Callithrix jacchus: one gene and its partners. The protein of the gene in region 1 purifies or fractionates together with the protein of each later gene. This does not show direct contact. Links are inferred from orthologs where the notes say so. Each region holds a gene or a part of one and is shown in the gene's direction. Other genes may lie near its edges. The genes, in order: MALT1, CSNK1A1 and CARD11.

The links.
Region 2: the proteins of MALT1 (region 1) and CSNK1A1 purify together in Homo sapiens (affinity purification with western blotting; 3 studies listed by BioGRID and IntAct, with this or other methods). This does not show direct contact. The link is inferred for Callithrix jacchus from reciprocal best matches to the Homo sapiens genes MALT1 and CSNK1A1.
Region 3: the proteins of MALT1 (region 1) and CARD11 purify together in Homo sapiens (affinity purification with western blotting; 6 studies listed by BioGRID and IntAct, with this or other methods). This does not show direct contact. The link is inferred for Callithrix jacchus from reciprocal best matches to the Homo sapiens genes MALT1 and CARD11.

The regions. Positions count from the first base shown.
Region 1 is NC_133514.1:101,762,788-101,768,683, forward strand, and holds part of MALT1 (mucosa-associated lymphoid tissue lymphoma translocation protein 1), read left to right. Parts: intron 1-3,540; coding exon 3,541-3,690; intron 3,691-5,896. UniProt on the Homo sapiens protein: Protease that enhances BCL10-induced activation: acts via formation of CBM complexes that channel adaptive and innate immune signaling downstream of CARD domain-containing proteins (CARD9, CARD11 and CARD14) to activate NF-kappa-B and MAP kinase p38 pathways which stimulate expression of genes encoding pro-inflammatory cytokines and chemokines.
Region 2 is NC_133503.1:48,238,256-48,244,891, reverse strand, and holds the start of CSNK1A1 (casein kinase I), read left to right. Parts: upstream 1-2,372; 5' UTR 2,373-2,880; coding exon 2,881-3,003; intron 3,004-3,653; coding exon 3,654-3,760; intron 3,761-6,636.
Region 3 is NC_133503.1:19,482,102-19,486,858, forward strand, and holds part of CARD11 (caspase recruitment domain-containing protein 11), read left to right. Parts: intron 1-1,612; coding exon 1,613-1,728; intron 1,729-4,707; coding exon 4,708-4,757. UniProt on the Homo sapiens protein: Adapter protein that plays a key role in adaptive immune response by transducing the activation of NF-kappa-B downstream of T-cell receptor (TCR) and B-cell receptor (BCR) engagement.

The DNA.
Region 1 (5,896 bases):
GCAGTATCTCATGTGGTCTTGATATGGTTTTCCCTAACCACTAGTGATACTGAACATTGTTCATATTTTTAATAGCTATATGTATATCTTATGTGAAACATCTGTTCATGTCATTTGTCCATTTTCCTACTGCGTGGGTTTTTTACTTATAGATTTAGAGGAATGTTGTATGGGTTCTTGATGTGATATTAGCTAGGACCTCTAAGACACTATTGAAATAGAAGTGGTAGTTGTGGGCATCCTTGTCTCGTTTCTGACTTTAAAGGGAATACTGCTAATGTTTTCACATTTAGAATAATACTGTAAGTTTTTTTTAATACTCTTTATTGGGTTTAGGAAGTTCTCTTCACCTAATTTTTTTGAAAGTTTTTATTATGAATAAATGTTGAACAAGATTAAATGGTCTTTCTGCAGCTATGAAAAGATAATAGGATGTTTCTTTTTCAATTTCTTAATATGGTGAGTTAAATTAATGGATAGTCTAAAATTAATCCAACTTGAGATAAATCATTTTCATTGGCATATATTTTTAATACACTACTAGATTTAATTTGCTGTCATTTTGTTTAGAATTTTTGTATCTATTTTCATATGGGAAATAGGCCTGTAATTTTACTTTCATATAGTATTTGGTTTAATTTTTGTTGTTGTTGTTTAATTTTATGAGAAAATAAAATTAGTATTTAGTGGTATCAGTGTTATCAGTATTCGTGGCATGCAGAGTATCATTGTTGTGCTGGCCTTGTAGAATGAGATGGAGGTTGTGATGGTTGATTTTATGTCAACTTTCACTAGGCCTCAGTGCCAAGGTATTTATTTAGTTATTTAGATTATTCAAGATGTGATGGATCCAGCATTATTCTGGACAAGATTAAAGTTTAAATTGATGGACTTTGAGTAAATCAGATTGCCCTCCATAATGGTGATGCACGTCATCCAGTTAGCTGAAGGCCTTACTGGAGCAAAGACGGACCTCCCACAAGCAAGGAGTTTGCCAGCAACCTGCCTTTGGGGCTCAGACTACAACTATTCTCTGCATCCCCACCCTGCCTGCCTGCCCTGCAGATTTCAGACTTGCACTGCCACAATTTCATAAACCAATACCTTAAGTTAATCTCTTCTTCTCCCTCTATATATATACACACACATGCACGTACACGCATGCATGCACGTATGCATACACGCATCCTATTGGTACTGCTTCTCTGGAGAACTCTAATACAGGAGTACACCCTGTTGTTTACTGGGAAATTTTCTATAAATTATGATCTCTTCCCTAATGTTTATGGGAGAACTTGCCTATAAGCCAATCTAGGATTTGTTTTGTTTTGTTTTTGGTAGATTTTTAACTACTGTTTTAATATCTTGAATATTTCTTTTACCATGTAGGCTTTTCATTTCTTTTTTGAGTCAATTTTGACAAGTTATATTTTCCTAGGAATTTGGGCAATTTTCAGATTTGTTGTCATTTAGTTGCCCATATTTCTAATAGTATTCTTTAATCTCCGCTTTCTCTGTAGTTACACACCCCTTTTCATCAGTGTTACTTGTACCTGCTTTCCTTTTTTCTTTATTGCCAGCTTTGGCCCATTGTGCTATTTTGTATTGAAGAACCAATCTTTGGCTCTGTTGATTTCTTCTACTTTTTCACTGTTTTCTAAATCATTAACTTCTGTTTGTTTATGTCTTGCCTTGCATTTATTCTTTTTCTAACATCATAAATAGTTCATTCACTTTTAGCCTATTTTTTCCAGTTTAAGTTTCTAAGTCTGTATATCTCTCTTAGAACATCACTTTCATCACATCCTACAGGTTTAGATTTTTTAATTTCTGCTTTTTCTTTAAGTTATATAATATTGTCTTTAATTTTCAAACACGGCAGGAATTTTTATTTAGCTTTTCAGTTTTTATTTCTACCTTAATTGCTTTGTGATCAAACAAACTCTGTCTAGTTGCCATGCTTTGAAATTTGTGAGTTTTCATTATGGCCAAGTAAAAGATGAAATTTTGTCAATTTTGCATGTGTACTTGAGAAAAATTGATATTTTTATAGTGACTGGTTGTAGAGCTTTATGTATGCCCATTAGGTTTGGCGTATTAATTTTTGTTCAGTTCTGTATTTCTGCTGATTTTTGATCAATAGTTGAGATGCTGAAATCTCTCAATTTACCTAATTTTTCTTGTAATTATAGCAATTTTTACTTCATAATATGTATTAGTAGATACTTACATATAATAAATACATATAACTAATACATACATATAACTAATAACCCTAACCCTAACCATGTATTAGGGTTATTAGTTATTACATACATATAACTAATACATACATATAACTAATAACCCTAACCATATATTAGGGTTATTAGTTATTATATACATATAACTAATACATACATAGAACTCCTAATACATACATATTATGACTATTTTATTGTGCTTTAAATGTTTATATTTTCTTACTGAATTGAACGTTTTATTATGTAGTGATGCCTCCATTCCAAATAATGCTTTTTGTTTTTTTGTATCGTCATAGAGCCATACCAGCTTCCTTTTTGTTGACCTAATATGTTATTCTTTACACTTTTACTTTCAAACATTTCATGTTGTTCTGCTTTACTGTAGCTTTTGGAGGCATCATATAACAAATTGTTTAAAATCCAATCTGAGTCTTTTAATGAGAAAATTAAGTTCATTTGCGTTTGTTATTTTTTGTATCTGTTTTTACTATCTAATTTTTTTATTTGGCTCATTTTCCTTTTTATATCTTTTCTTCTCCAACAAATACTAATTTTGAGGTACTTTTACAACACTTGGTGTCTCCTTTTAACCCCCAACAGGCTGATTTAACTTAGACTTTGTTCTGGATCACTGAATATTTTTGTCTTTTTTTTCTTTTTTTTTAAAGAACCTTACTATTGTGAATTTATAACATAGCAGAAAGAAGTAGGATAAACTATAACTTAAAGAACATGATAGTCCAAATTTAAACTGATGTGTATCCATATACATTAGTCTGTATCTAAAACATGTTGAATGAAAATGGCACATTACAAAGACATACATGTAACATTTTTGTTGAATTCAAAAACGTAAAACATTGGCATATACTATTTATGAATATCTACACATGAGTAAAAATTAAAACATGCCTGCTGTGTCTACCACATAGTAGGTGCTCAGGAAATATTTGTTGAGTGGATAAATGATACTGAGAATGTAACCTGATAACGTAGGGTAGTTATTAGCCTAAATATTTAAAACATAAGAATTGGTGGTCTTAAAATAGTATTGGCCGAACATGGTGGCTCGTGCCTGTGATCCAGCACTTTGGGAAGCAGAGAGGCAGGTGGATCATGAGGTCAGGCGTTCAAAACTAAAAATACAAAATAGCTGGGCACCTGTAATCCCAGCTATTCGGGAGGCTGAGGCAGAGGTTGCAGTGAGCTGAGATCACACCACTGCACTCCAGCTTGGGTTGGGCAGCAGAGCGAGATTTCATCTCAAAAAAATAATATTTCTTTTCATATCTTTTAGATATGGGTAAGTGTCACCTTACCAAAGGCAAACAGGCTTTAGAGATTCGAAGTAGTTTATCTGAGAAGAGAGCACTTACTGATCCAATACAGGGAACAGAATATTCTGCAGAATCTCTGGTGCGGAATCTACAGTGGGCCAAGGCTCATGGTATAGTAAAGTCTGTTTTTTGTTTGATCTATAATATATTTATCTTAAGTCATATAGTTTTCTTCTTCTGAATAACTAACTTTCCTCCCAGTTTTACAATGAAAATATTTTGGCCTACCAGACAAATCTCAAACCAAACAAATGTTTCAATTATGGATATTAATTACACTGGTTTATTTGATGTTGGAAATACAAATTATTTAGCCCATTATTTTCACTATTGGTAAAATTAAAATAACCATTTAAAAATTTTTCTATTTTAAAAATAGGTTAATTTTCCATTTGTCTAATACATAATCCCTTAGATTCTCCTGTATTGCGACCTGTTAAAGTGTGCAGCTGTCAAAATTCGTGGATTTGGGGTCTGATCCAGTCTGAACCAATCTATGAACATGTTATCTATAACATGAATAAGAAATAGTATCTGTTTCAGGCCAGGCGCAGTGACTCACACCTGTAAACCTAGCACTTTGGGAGGCTAAAGCAGGTAGATCACCTGAGGTTAGGAGTTCAAGACCAGCCTGGGAAACATGGCAAAACCTTGTCTCTACTAAAAACACAAAAAGTTAGCAGGGCGTGGTGGCATGTTCCTGTAATTCCAACCACTAGGCACTGATACAAGAGAATCCCTTGCACGTTGGAGGTAGAGGTTGCAGTGCAGTGAGCAGAGACTGTGCCACTGCACTCCAGTCTGGGTAACAGAACATGACTCCATCTCGAAAATAAAATAAATAGTACCTGCTTCGTAGGTTATTGGGATTGAGTGATGGCACAGGTAGAAATGAGCATGGCACTCAGCAAATCCTCTGTGCTTGTGATTACTAATATAACTCAGCATCCTCTCTTGGATACTTGATCAGTAGGTTGATCAAATAGGTTGATCAACAATCAGTCTGTAGCATAATTACCTTTGGGTAATTGTATATGGTTTAATGAAAAAATACGTTTAAATTACTGATTGAAATATTGTGGATTTTCTGAGTCCAAGTATCTATTCTGTGAGTCTCTTATAATTGTATTTATTGAAGTTCCATAAAATATTTTTACAATAATTTTTGTTCTTGGCCAGGCTTGGTGGCTCATGTCTGTAATCCCAGCACTTTGGGAGGCCGAGATGGGTGGATCACCTGAGGTCAGGAGTTCAAGACCAGCCTGGCCAACATGGTGAAACTCCCTCTCTACTAAAAATATAAAAATTAGCTGAGCACCTATAATCCCAGTTACTCTGAATACTGAGCCAGGAGAATCGCATGAACACAGGAGTTGGAGGTTGCAGTAAGCCAAGGTTGCACTATTGCACTCCAGCCTGAAAACGGTCTCAAAAAAAAAAAAAAATTGTTCTCCAATATATATTTTTGGTAAGTTAACATATTAAAGCACATTAAAATGTAAAATGCCATAAATATCTCACCATTCCAGATAACTGGAGAAGTAATTAAAATTGAATGTCTTTTCTCTATAGAAGATCTAAAGAACAAACAATAACAAAATTATAGGGGTAAAGATCAACAGTAAACGAAACCTCATAACACTAAAAGGTCATAGAGAAAGTATTTGTAACAGGCCAGGCATGGTGTAATCCCAGCACTTTAGGGGGCTGAGGTGGGAGGATCACAAGGTCAGGAGATCAAGATCATCCTGGCCAACATGGTAAAACACCATCTCTGCTAAAAACAGAAAAAAATTAGCTGGATGTGGTGACATGCACCTGTAGTTCTAGCTACTAAGGAAGCTGAGGCAGGAGAATCACTTGAACCCAAGAGACGGAGGTTGCAGTGAGCTAAGATCACACCACCACACTCCAGCTTGGTGACAGAGTGAGACTCCATCTCAAAAAAAAAAAAAAAAAAGTATTTGTAACGAATTTAATCAAGTAGGTCATTTTTAAAATATTTTTTAATAATGAGCTCATACAAAATGCTAAGAGAAAAAAATTAAGACTCCTCAGTAAACAAGCAAATGGATGCAAATTCAATAATCCACATTTCTAGAAGTATATTAATTGAGAAAGAAATCTTAAAAATGGCTAATTTAAGTAACTAAGGAATAATTAAAACTATGATGATATCTTTCTACTTTTTAATCCCATCAAGTAGACAGTTGTTTTAAAAATTATTAAAACTGTTTTGGACATGTTATGGTAAAACTTTATATTCCATGTAAATTAAAAATAATTTGTCCCGGGCCGGGCGCGGTGGCTCACGCC
Region 2 (6,636 bases), on another chromosome or scaffold:
CACAGCCTCTGCTTCTCGGGTTCAAGCGATTCTCTTGCCTTAGCCCCCTGAGTAGCTGGGATTACAGGAATGTGCCACCACACTCAGCTAATTTTGCATTTTTAGTAGAGACAGTTTCTATATGTTGGTCAGGCTGGTCCTGAACTCCTGACCTCAGGTGATCCACCTGCCTAGGCTTCCCAAAGTGCTGGGATTACAGGTGTGAGCCACCATGTCTAGCCATATTTGGCTTTTTTTTTTTTTTAATTTTAGACCAGAGTTTAACAGCAGATTTTAACTTAGTCAAAATGTGCTTTCGAGTCACCAAAGGCAAATGATGTCTAATAGGGCTGATTTGGGAGTTGGGCACCCCAGGTGTTGGTTGTGCTTTAAAACTTCATGCTAAACCTTAGGGGAAGTCTTTTCCCCTCTCTCTTCAGTTAAGATCTCTTCCAAGATGAACCCTATTACTAATTACCTGATCAGCTTTCAAAGTTGCAGTTAAAATACTTCACATTTTTTTCCATTTGTACTTATAATTTTTTTTTTGAGACAGGGTCTCTCTGTTGCCCGGGTTGAAAGTGCAGTGGCGTGATCTACGCTCACCACAATCTCTGCCTTCCGGGTTCAAATGATTCTCAGCTTCCCGAGAAGCTGGGGTTACAAGTGTGTGCCACCACACATGGCAGATTTTTGTATTTTTAGTGGAGATGGGGTTTCACCATGTTGTCCAGCTAGTCTTGAATTCTGACCTCTGGTGATCCAAACACCTTGGCCTCCCAAAGTGCTGGGATTACAGGCGTGAGCCACCACTCCTGGCCATCAAATTTTGTAAAACAATATGTGGTCAAGATTTCATTCTCTGATCTATTTTTAGTAAAAAGAAAAAAATTACCGTGTAGTTTGTTTTGTTTTTGAGACACAGTCTTACTCTGTCACCCAGCTGGAGTGCAGAGGCATGATCTTGGCTCACTGCAACCTCCATCTCCCAGGTTCAAGCGATTCTCCTCTCTCAGCCTCCTGAGTACCTAGGACTACAGGCGCCTGCCATCACGCCCAGCTAATTTTTGTATTTTTAGTAGAGATGGGGTTTCACCATGTTGGCCAGGATAGTCTTGATCTCTTGTCCTCGTGATACCCCCGCCTCAGCCTCCCAAAGTGCTGGGATTACAGGCGTGAGCCACCGTGCCCCTGGCTACCATATGGTTTTAAATGTTGTCAATTATGTTTTGCGACAGTTACCTCTGCTATATGTTAAGGTTAATATTGAGGTTTTCCATATGACCAACATATGATTCTTTTTTTTTTTTTCGTTTTTTTGGTGGGATTGGGAGGAGGGCTAGAACAGTTTTTTCACTCTTGTTAATTTTCTGTTGATTCCACCTATTACTAATCTTCATTATGGCAAGATACCCGGTTTTCTCATGAAGATCAAATGTGGTAGTGGGGCAATAATGCAAAGACAAAGGACGGTAGGAGGATTCCGGCTTCTTTTTTCCCCTCCTGAGCAAACAGGGTCTCTAACACTCCGTAGTAGAGAACACAGTTCTATTTATGAAGGGTAATTAGCTGGGCTTTGCTACAACCGAGAGCCCTGAACGATTCGATCAGCCCGATACGCGGGCTGCTTTTCTCTTCTTCTCCACCAGAGGCGATAGCCTCTTTCCAAACAGAAACTTGGTTGCAATAGGCCGGTCGGGGGGAGCGGCCAGAAGATCAAAGATTAAAAACCGCCTGAAACAGGCCGGGCGCGGTGGCTCATACCTATAATCCCAGCACTTTGGGAGGCCGAGGCGGGTGGATCACGAGGTCAAGAGATCGAGACCATCCTGGTCAACATGGTGAAACCCTGTCTCTACTAAAAGTACAAAAAAAAAAATTGGCTGGGCATAGTGGCGTGGGCCTGTAATCCCAGCTACTCGGGAGGCTGAGGCAGGAGAATTGCTTGAACCCAGGAGGCGGAGGCTGCGGTGAGCCGAGATCGCGCCATTGCACTCCAGCCTGGGTAACAAGAGTGAAACTCCGTCTCAAAAAAAAAAAAAAAAAAACCTCCTGAAACAAAGAGCAAAGGTCAATACCAAACTCCTAAGGAGGCCTGAAGCTTTTATCTGTTAGGAAACGGGAAGGTGACTTCTCCCTGACATCGGTGCCTGAGGCCACTCAGCCTTCCAGAGACCGGGCGGGTCCGGGCGGGTCCGTGGTAACAGGTAGCACCGGCTGAACAGCCGCCAACCGGAAGTGGAAGAGAGCCTGGGGCGGGGTGAGTACCAGCCGCGGCACGCCTGCGCAGTCAGCAGGAGTTACAGTGCTCATGCGCAGCTGGGCGGTGACGAGGTGACGCTTGGAGCGTGGGCCGCGACTCTCACGGATCCGGTTCCGCCCTCCCTCTGGCTGCAGATCCTCCGGAGCGAGCGCCCGAGATCCCTTTCCCAGAGTGCTCTGCGCCGTGAAGAAGCGGCTCCCGGGGACTGGGGGCATTTTGTGTTGGCTGGAGCTGGAGTAACAAGATGGCGTCGTCGGCGGAGTGACAGGGGTCCCTCCGGGCCGGAGCCAGCAGCAGTGCTGGCAGTGGTATCGCCGCCCTAGCTCACCGCGCCCCTTTTCCTGCCCGCGACGTCGCCGCTCAAGCAGGCATCGGCCGCCAACGAGAACAAGTGGCCCAGCCTGGTAGCCGCGAGAAGCCCTTCACAAAGTGCGGCCTGGCAAAAAGAAACCTGACTGAGCGGTGGTGATCAGGTTCCCCTCGGCTGATTCTGGGCCCCGAACGCCGGTAAAGGCCTCTGTGTTCCGTTTCCTGCTGCCTTCCTCCGTAGCCTTGCCCGGTGTAGGAGCTCGAGAGGTCTCCGTCTTCCCCTCAGAGGTGTCGGGGCTTGGCCCCAGCCTCCATCTTCGTCTCTCAGGATGGCGAGCAGCAGCGGCTCCAAGGCCGAATTCATTGTCGGAGGGAAATACAAACTGGTACGGAAGATCGGGTCTGGCTCCTTCGGGGACATCTATCTGGCGATCAACATCACCAACGGCGAGGTAATCACCTGGGGTAGGGTTGACGATAACGCTGGGCATTTCCTCATTCCCCGCCCCCACCACCGCGCACCCCTAAAGTGCTTGGGCCTCTCCCCACCGCACGCACTCGTCAGGGAGTCCAGAGAGCTAGTTTTCCTGGCTTTTGAACCTCCCCCGCTCTTTCCCTAAAAGGATCAAGAACCCGATAGAAAGGTTGGGGAAGGTTCCCAGCTTGTTAAACACGTCCCATAAATGTCCCTTAGTTGAACTTTTTTTTTTTTAACCGTTTTTTAAGGTGGAAACGGCAAAATCCTATTTCTGTGATTCCCATGCTTTTATTTTATTTTATTTTTAATTCTGCTGGCCTCTTATTCCAATTAGAACAGTTTCCGATCGCCTAGTTCCTTAAAAACCTCTCATTACGTTCAGAGGTTGCCTCTTTTTTTCTGGATGAATCATTTTCCTGCACTTTAGAAGAGGTAGGGATTTCGTCACTACCCCCTGAAGAGGCTGGTTGCCTCATTTTATAATTACAGAGAGCTTTCTCTTTCCAGTCTTTCGCTTTTTCCCTGTAGTCGCGACTTGGAGTTTTGCTAATGTCTCTCCCTCCTTTCCTAAGTGACATTGAATCCGTAGGGATGTTGATGCCATCATCCCTCTTTCCCCTGCAGGAAGTGGCAGTGAAGCTAGAATCTCAGAAGGCCAGGCATCCCCAGTTGCTGTACGAGAGCAAGCTCTATAAGATTCTTCAAGGTGGGGTTGGCATCCCCCACATACGGTAAGAACCCTGTGCATATAGGCGGTCTGCTGAGGGAAGCACGGAATGGGGAAGTGGGTAGAGGCAGGTAAGGAGACCAGCTGAATCCAGGTCTTGGTGTTTCAGTTACCTGGGTTCCCTACAGCTAGTGGCTTCCTGTAAGTCAGTTATCGCAATCACTGAGTAAATTTCAGTTTGCTAACTTAGTTTAAAATTTCATTGTATTACACTGTGTCCCATTTCGCTTCCGTCATTTCTCCCTCTTCCCGAGGCTTTCATTTGCAGTAAAGTGTGCAGGTCATCTTTGATCTCTACGCGGAAGGTTTGACTGCTGCCTTTTTTACGGCGGCATGTCTGGTGTTCAGAGGTTTGCTCAGTGAAGTGGATTTGAAGGTGGCGAAGCGACAGGGCAGTGTCATTTCGGGTTGCTATTGGAGCTGGCTTGGGAAATGGCTGCTCTTTTGTTGTGTTTTTGTTCCAACATGTCTTCCTCCTCCGCTTAGAAAATGGCGGAACGACGTGACTCAACCCCATATTCCTGCCCTTTTCTCAGCTTGGGTTCACAAATTATGCTTCCTTGATACCTCCTTCAGCAGCCCCAAGTGGTTTAAACCTTTGAAAAAGTCAAGAATAAAGCTGCAGGAGCCAGTGGGGTTCCAGGAAGGACATGGCATAGTGACAATGTTTGTGATCTCGTCAGCAGATATGATACGAAATTGTTGAATTATACTATGTAAAATCCTTTGTAGTTCTTTTAAAAGTGTTAATTACTCTTTCCTTTAGTGAATGGTCATGTTTGTCACTTTTCAGTCCAAACTAAATTTGTATAGATAGTGGCAGAGGCAGTTTGAGCACCACCATGTTAAAATTTACTCAGCTCAGTTTTATTAAAAGAGAGCTTAATCACTTAGCCACACTTTGATAAGTAATTTTAACCTGTTGAGTTTATCAGTAAATTTTAACATCAGAGAAATTGTGGCCTTTTTTGGTGTGGAATATTGGTGGATACAAATAGTGGTAATGAGGATACAAGGTGACGAGATAGAAATACATTGTTCCGTCAACTCTTGAGGGTTTTAGAGTAATGTTTTGACTTTAGGGATTAAAAGAGCCTCTTCATGGAATAGAGACTAAAATGTAGTTTAAAACCCAGCTGTTTTCCAGCGATAATAAAAAAAAATTTGCAAAAATTTTCAGAATAGTTGAGAATGGTATTTACTGTTTACTGGAGCCTCTTTTTTTGTTTTGTTGTTGTTGTTTTTGTTTTGAAATGGCGTTTTTGCTCTTGCCACCTAGGTTGGAGCGCAGTCACACGATCTCTGCTCACTGCAACCTGTGCCTCCCAGGTTCAAACGATTCTTGTGCCTCAGGCTCCAGAGTAGCTGGGACTACAGGCTGGTGCCACCACGCCCAGCTAATTTTTTGTATTTTTAGTAGAGACGGGGTTTCACCATCTTAGCCAGATGGTCTCCATCTCCTGGCCTCGTGACCTGCTCTCTCGGCCTCCCAAAGTGCCGGGATTACAGGTGTGAGCCGCCACGCCTGGCCTAATTTTTGTATTTTTAGTAGAAAAGGGGTTTCACCACGTTTGTCAGGCTGGCCTGGAACTCCTGACCTCAGGTCATTTTCCCACCTCAGCCTCCGAAAATGCTGGGATTATGGGTGTGAGCCACCAATCCTGGCTTTTTTTTTTTTTTGAGAGGAGTCTTACTCTGTTGCCCAGGCTGGAGTACAGTGGCACCATCTCGACTCACTGCAACCTTCGACTCCCGGGTTCAAGCGATCCTCCTGCCTCAGCCTCCTAAGTATCTGGAATTACAGGCCTGCGCCACCATGCCCAGCTAATTTTTTGTTTGTTTAGTAGAGATGAGGTTTCACCATGTTGGCCAGGGTGGTCTCAAACTCCTGACCTCAGGTGATCTACTGGCATGGCCTCCCAAAGTGCTGGAATTATAGGCGTGAGGCACTATGCCAGGCTTGTAGCCCCTTTTCTATTTCAGGTTTTTTTTTTTTCAGATCTTGAATTAAGGACTGGATTGCATAGTGCTTACATGGAAACAACACAAATAAAACTATCCTAAAAAAAAGTTCCAAAGCTGTTAGTTTTTATTTTCTATTAAAAAAAAAATTTTTTTTTTTTTTTGAAGGGACGGGGTTTCACTGTATTGGTCAGGCTGGTCTTGAACTCCTGACCTCAGGTGATCCACCTGCCTCGGCCTCCCAAAGTGCTGGGGATTACTGGCGTGAGCCACCGCGCCGGGCCAGCTGTTAGTTTTGACGGAGAACTGAATGATAAAATTTGCTATTGGTTGTAAATGGGCAGGTAAATCACTTGGAAGAAAATTCCAAATTTATCTTTTGACGTAAAGATTAATGTGAAATCTAAGATGATACAGATTTGAGGTTTCAATTTATTTATTTTTTAAAATTTTATTTATTTATTTATTATTATTTTTTTAAAGATGGGGTTTCACCCTGATGGCCAGGCTGGTTTTGAACTCCTGACTTCAGGTGATCCACCCACCTGGGCCTCCCAAAGTGATAGGATTACAGGTGTGAGCCACTGTGCCGGGCCTGATTTGAGGTTTTTAAATGGTTCTTGTCTTTAAAAAAATCCTGTGTGGGAAAATAAGGCCCCTTACACCCACTGATTGCTTTCTGTCACTAGTTTTTCCTAGAATTTCTTACAGATGGAATCATATGGTATGAGGTCATTTGTGTCTGGCACTTTTCACTTAGCATAATGTTTTTGAGATTATTTATGTTGGGAGATTTTATAAATTTCACAAATCAGGTTAAATTTAATATATTTGAAATCATTTTCAGAAAGCATTAAGCATTGCCATTTTCACTGCTAAACCCAAGTTAAGTACATGCCCTTTTATCTGGTAGCTTTT
Region 3 (4,757 bases), on another chromosome or scaffold:
CACAAGTGTTATTAGCGACGATGCAGAGATCGTGTGCATTATAGAGTCTTTGAGGCAGACGGCGTGACCTAAGCATTGAGTTCTTCCTCATCCCAGCACCCGATGAAGGAAGAGTTGTCACTCTGCATTAGTGGTGTGCTCCCCCAGCTGCCAGGGGCTGGCTCCATGGTGGACGCTGACCTTGGGGACACCAAGAGCAAGTGATGGTGTTTTTTAAAGTCTGGGCCACAGCAGTTTAGGAAATTCTGACAGCTGGAGTGGATAAAAAGCAAGTGGGCAGGGCTTGAGCCAAGATTGTTTTTAGCTGAAAAGAAGATCCGACGGCTGTCCCACAGATCTGTGCTCTTAGAAATGTAGGCCATGGTCCTGCTGGCAGGGAATGGAGAGCAGGGGTCTGCGGGAGGCTAAGCAGGGCTCTGGGCTGGCCATTCCCGCCTCCAGACACGGATGCTAGTTCCAGGCTGTGTTCAGTGTGCAAAATTTATTGAGCTGCGAACTTAAAATGCTCTATTTATGTTCCATTCCAATGCAAAGTTTAATGTTGTATTGATTTAGAGTCGGTCGCGCTCTGTTGCCCAGGCTGGAGTGCAGTGACACGATTAGAGCCTACTGCAGCCGAGACTTCTAGACTCAAGCAACCCTCCCCCACTGCCTCCCGAGCAGCTAGGACTATGGTTATGCACCACCATGCCCAGCTAATGATTTTTAAATTTTTTTAGAGATAGGGTCTTGTTATGTTGCCCAGCTCTCAAACTCCTAGTGTCAAGCAATCCTCCCACCTCTCAAAGTGCTGGGATTGCTGGCATGAACCATTGTGCCTGGCCAACGTTTGGTGGAATTTTTTTTAAGCAATGCCTTCAGCAAAACATAGATGGTCCTTTCTCAAAATGATGAGCTCCTGGTTGAGGACCCTTGCAGATACTCTTGGGACTGGCCAGCCTGACTGCCTCCCCCATGTGTTCCCTACCCTCTTACTTGAAGGCTGGCTAGGGTAGCAGGTGTTTAGGGGGTTTTGTGTGTGTGTGTATGTGTGTGTGTGTGTGTGTGTATGTGTGTGTGTTTGAGACAGAGTCTTGCTCTGTCACCCAGGCTGGAGTGCAATGGCACCATCTCGGCTCACTGCAACCTCCGCTTCCTGGGTTCAAGCAATACTCGTGCCTCAGCCTCCTGACTAGCTGGGATTACAGGTGCATGCCACCACGCCTGGCTAATTTTTGTACTTTTAATAGAGACGGGGTTTCGCCATGTTGATCAGGCTGGTCTCGAACTCCTGACCTCAAGTGATCCGCTCGCCTCAGCCTCCCAAAGCACAAGGATTACAGGCGTGAGCCACCATGCCAGGCTGGTAGCAGGTGTTTCATTCAAACTCATTCACACCACCTGGTTCACCGCAGCCGGGGCCTCATCTCTGCCCATGAACAGCACTGTGGTCAGCAGAGTCCTGGAGTATCCTGACTCATGGGGAGTCTTATCTCCTGGATCAGTGGCAGGTGGCTTTCAGGGCTCCCACCCCACTATCGACCCCAACCCTGCATCCAGGCCCCACCACATGCACCTTCATAGGAGCAGGAGGTGGGTGGGCTGCTGCTGACTGAAGCCACTGTGCCCGCAGAACAAGCACTGCCTGCTGGAGGCTGGGATCAGCTGCGCGAGAGCCTTGATCAAGGCCAACATCTACCCCATCGTGCTCTTCATCAGGGTGTGTGAGAAGAACATCAAGAGGTTCAGGTAGGGCTCCGAGACCCCTGGGGGCTGCCCCTCCTGTCCCTAGCACCCCATCAAGCCTCAGTGGAGGACAGGATGCCTGTGTGCCCCACCTCATGCACCCCTTAGTAAACCCTCACCAAGTACGGGACCGTCCCTTCAGAGCTGACACCTAGGGCAGCGGCCGAGGTGGTGACTCACACACATGGGATACATCATGGGGGACAAGAGTTAGGAGGGACGGGGTGGAGTGCACATCACCCGGGGTGGTCAGGGAAGGCCTTCAGGATGCATCAGCGAGACCCACGGCTGTAAGTGAGGATCCTGTCTGGGAGGCGATGAGAGGCAGTCCGACTCTGGACCTGTGTTCAGGACCAAGCCTGCAAGATTCAGGAAAGGGTTTACTCTGGGGTTCCAAAGAACGAGAGGCCAGGCGCAGTAGGTCACACCTGTCATCCCACACTTTGGAAGGCCAAGGTGGGCGGATCAGCTGAAGCTGGGTATTTGAGACAAGCGTGGCCAACATGGTGAAACCCCATCTCTACCAAAAATACAAAAATTAAGCCGGGCATGGTGGCTCAGGCCTGTAATCCCAGCACTCTGGGAGGCCGATGCAGGTGGATCATGAGGTCAGGAGTTTGACCTCATGACAGCCTGGTCAACATGGTGAAATCACGTCTCTACTGAAAAATACAAAAATAAGCCAGGTGTGGTGGCACATGCCTGTAATCCCATCTACACTTGAATCCAGGAGGTGGAGGTTGCAGTGAGCCGAGATTGTGCCACTGCACTCCAGCCTGGGTGGCAGAGTGAGACTCTATCTAGAAAAAAAAAATACAAAAATTAGCTGGATGTGGGGGTGCACCCCTGTAGTCCCAGCTATTTAGGAGGCTGAAACAGGAGAATCACTTGAACATAGGAGGTGGAGGTTGCTATAAGCTGAGATTGCACCACTGCACTCCAGCCTAGGCAAGAGAGAGAGACTCCAGCTCAAAAAAAAAAAAAAAAGGATGGTGCTGAGGTTTGGAGCCTGGGTGATGAGGACAGACTTGCCCTCCAGCGGCTTCATCTCAGATCCTTGCCCCTCCTGACATGCATCTGCAAAATAAATGTCCTGCTGCCACTTTACAGAGGGAATCACTGAGACTGGGAGGGGTTAGGCCCCTTCATTTCTTTTCACCAGATACTTACTGAGCTCCTGTGAAGGGTTAGGCTCTGGGGAACCCAGCAGTGAGCAAAAGAGACAGACATCCCCACTCAATACCTCACATCCTTTAGGCTGGCTAAGACTGAAAATGCAGAAACTGACAAGTGTTGGTGAGGAGGTTAGATGTCAGAACCCAGCACGCTGCTGCTGAAAGTGCAAAGTAGAGCAGCCCCTGTGGAGGACGGCATGGCGCTTCCTCAAAAATTAGAAATAGAAGACCACAGGATCCATCAACCCACCTGCGGGCATATCCCCAAGGGAACTGAAAGCAGAGTCTCTAAGAGATATTTCCACGCCGGCATTCACACCAGCGTCACTCCCAATAGCCAAAACCTGGAAGTCACCTAAGGGTCCATCAGCGGGGAGTGAATACACACAATGGGGCCCGTCCACACAGGTTAGGAAGGTGTTAAGAGCTGAAAACCTTGCAAACTGTTAACCAAAAAGACTTGAAATAAAGAAATCATAATACATGTTAATATAAGAGAAATTATAGCCTGGTACATGCCTATAGTCCCCCTTCCCCATCCGTCCTGCCTGGAAATGTGTTTGTGGTGCAGAGTGTACTGCACCAAAAATGCTGTATGATTTTTTGGGTGGTTTTTTTTTTTTTTTTTGAGATGGAGTCTTGCTCTGTTGCCTAGGCTGGAGTACAGTGGTGCCATCTCAGCTCACTGCAGCCTCCGCTTCCCGGGTTCAAGTGATTCTCCTGTCTCAGCCTCCCAAGTAGCTGGGATAACAGGTGCCTGCCACCATGCCTGGCTAATTTGTGTATTTTTACTAGAGATGGGGTTTCACCATGTTGCCCGGGCTGGTCTCGAACTCCTGACTTCAAGTTATCCTCCCCCTCAGCCTCCCAGAGTGCTAGCATTATAGATGTGAGCCACCATGCCCAGCCCATACAGTGGAATATTATTCAGCCTTCAAAAGGAAGGAGATTCTGACACCCACGTCAACATGGGTGAACCTTGAGGACGTTATTCCGTCAAATAAGCCAATCACAAAAACACACGTGCTGTATCCGATTCCACTTATATAAGGTCTCTAGAGCAGTCAGATTCCTGGAGACAGGAAGTAGAAGGGTGGTTCCCAGAGACTGCGGGAGGGAAGATGGGGCGTGAGTATTTTATTGGTCCAGAGTTGCAGTTTGGGAAGATGAGGAAGTCTGGAGATGGTTGCACAGCAGTGTATACCTAATGCTACACAGAACATACCTAATGCTACTAAATTCTTCACTGAAAGAATAAGTAAAACGGTCGATTTTATTTTATGCATATCTTAGCACAATTAGAAATTAAAAGGATGTAGCCGGGCGCAGTGGCTCATGCCTGTAATCCCAAATTTGGGAGGCCGAGGCGGGTGAATCATTTGAGGTCAGTAGTTCGAGACCAGCCTGGCAACATGATGAAACCCCATCTCTACTAAAAATACAAAACTTAGCCAGGCATGGTGGTGCGTGCCTATAGTCCCAGGTACTCAGGAGGCTGAGGCAGGACAATTGCTTGGACCTGGGAGACGGAGGTTGCAGTGAGCTGAGATCACGCCACTGCACTCCAGCCTGGGCAACAGAGCAAGACTCCATCTCAAAATAAAAATAAAAATAAAAAGAATGGGTTTGGAATTTCCAGTGAACAGCATGAAGGGGCATGGTCCCTAGCATTAAGAGTCACAAATGATATAAGGGAGAAGCAAGGCAGGAAAGGAATGGGGGCTGCGGCAGTGAGGGCTGGCCAGGCAGGTGGTGCCACACCAGTGCCACGACAGCCACCCCACAGCCCCTGCACATCTCCTCCCAGAAAGCTGCTGCCCCGGCCTGAGACGGAGGAGGAGTTCCTGCGCATGTGCC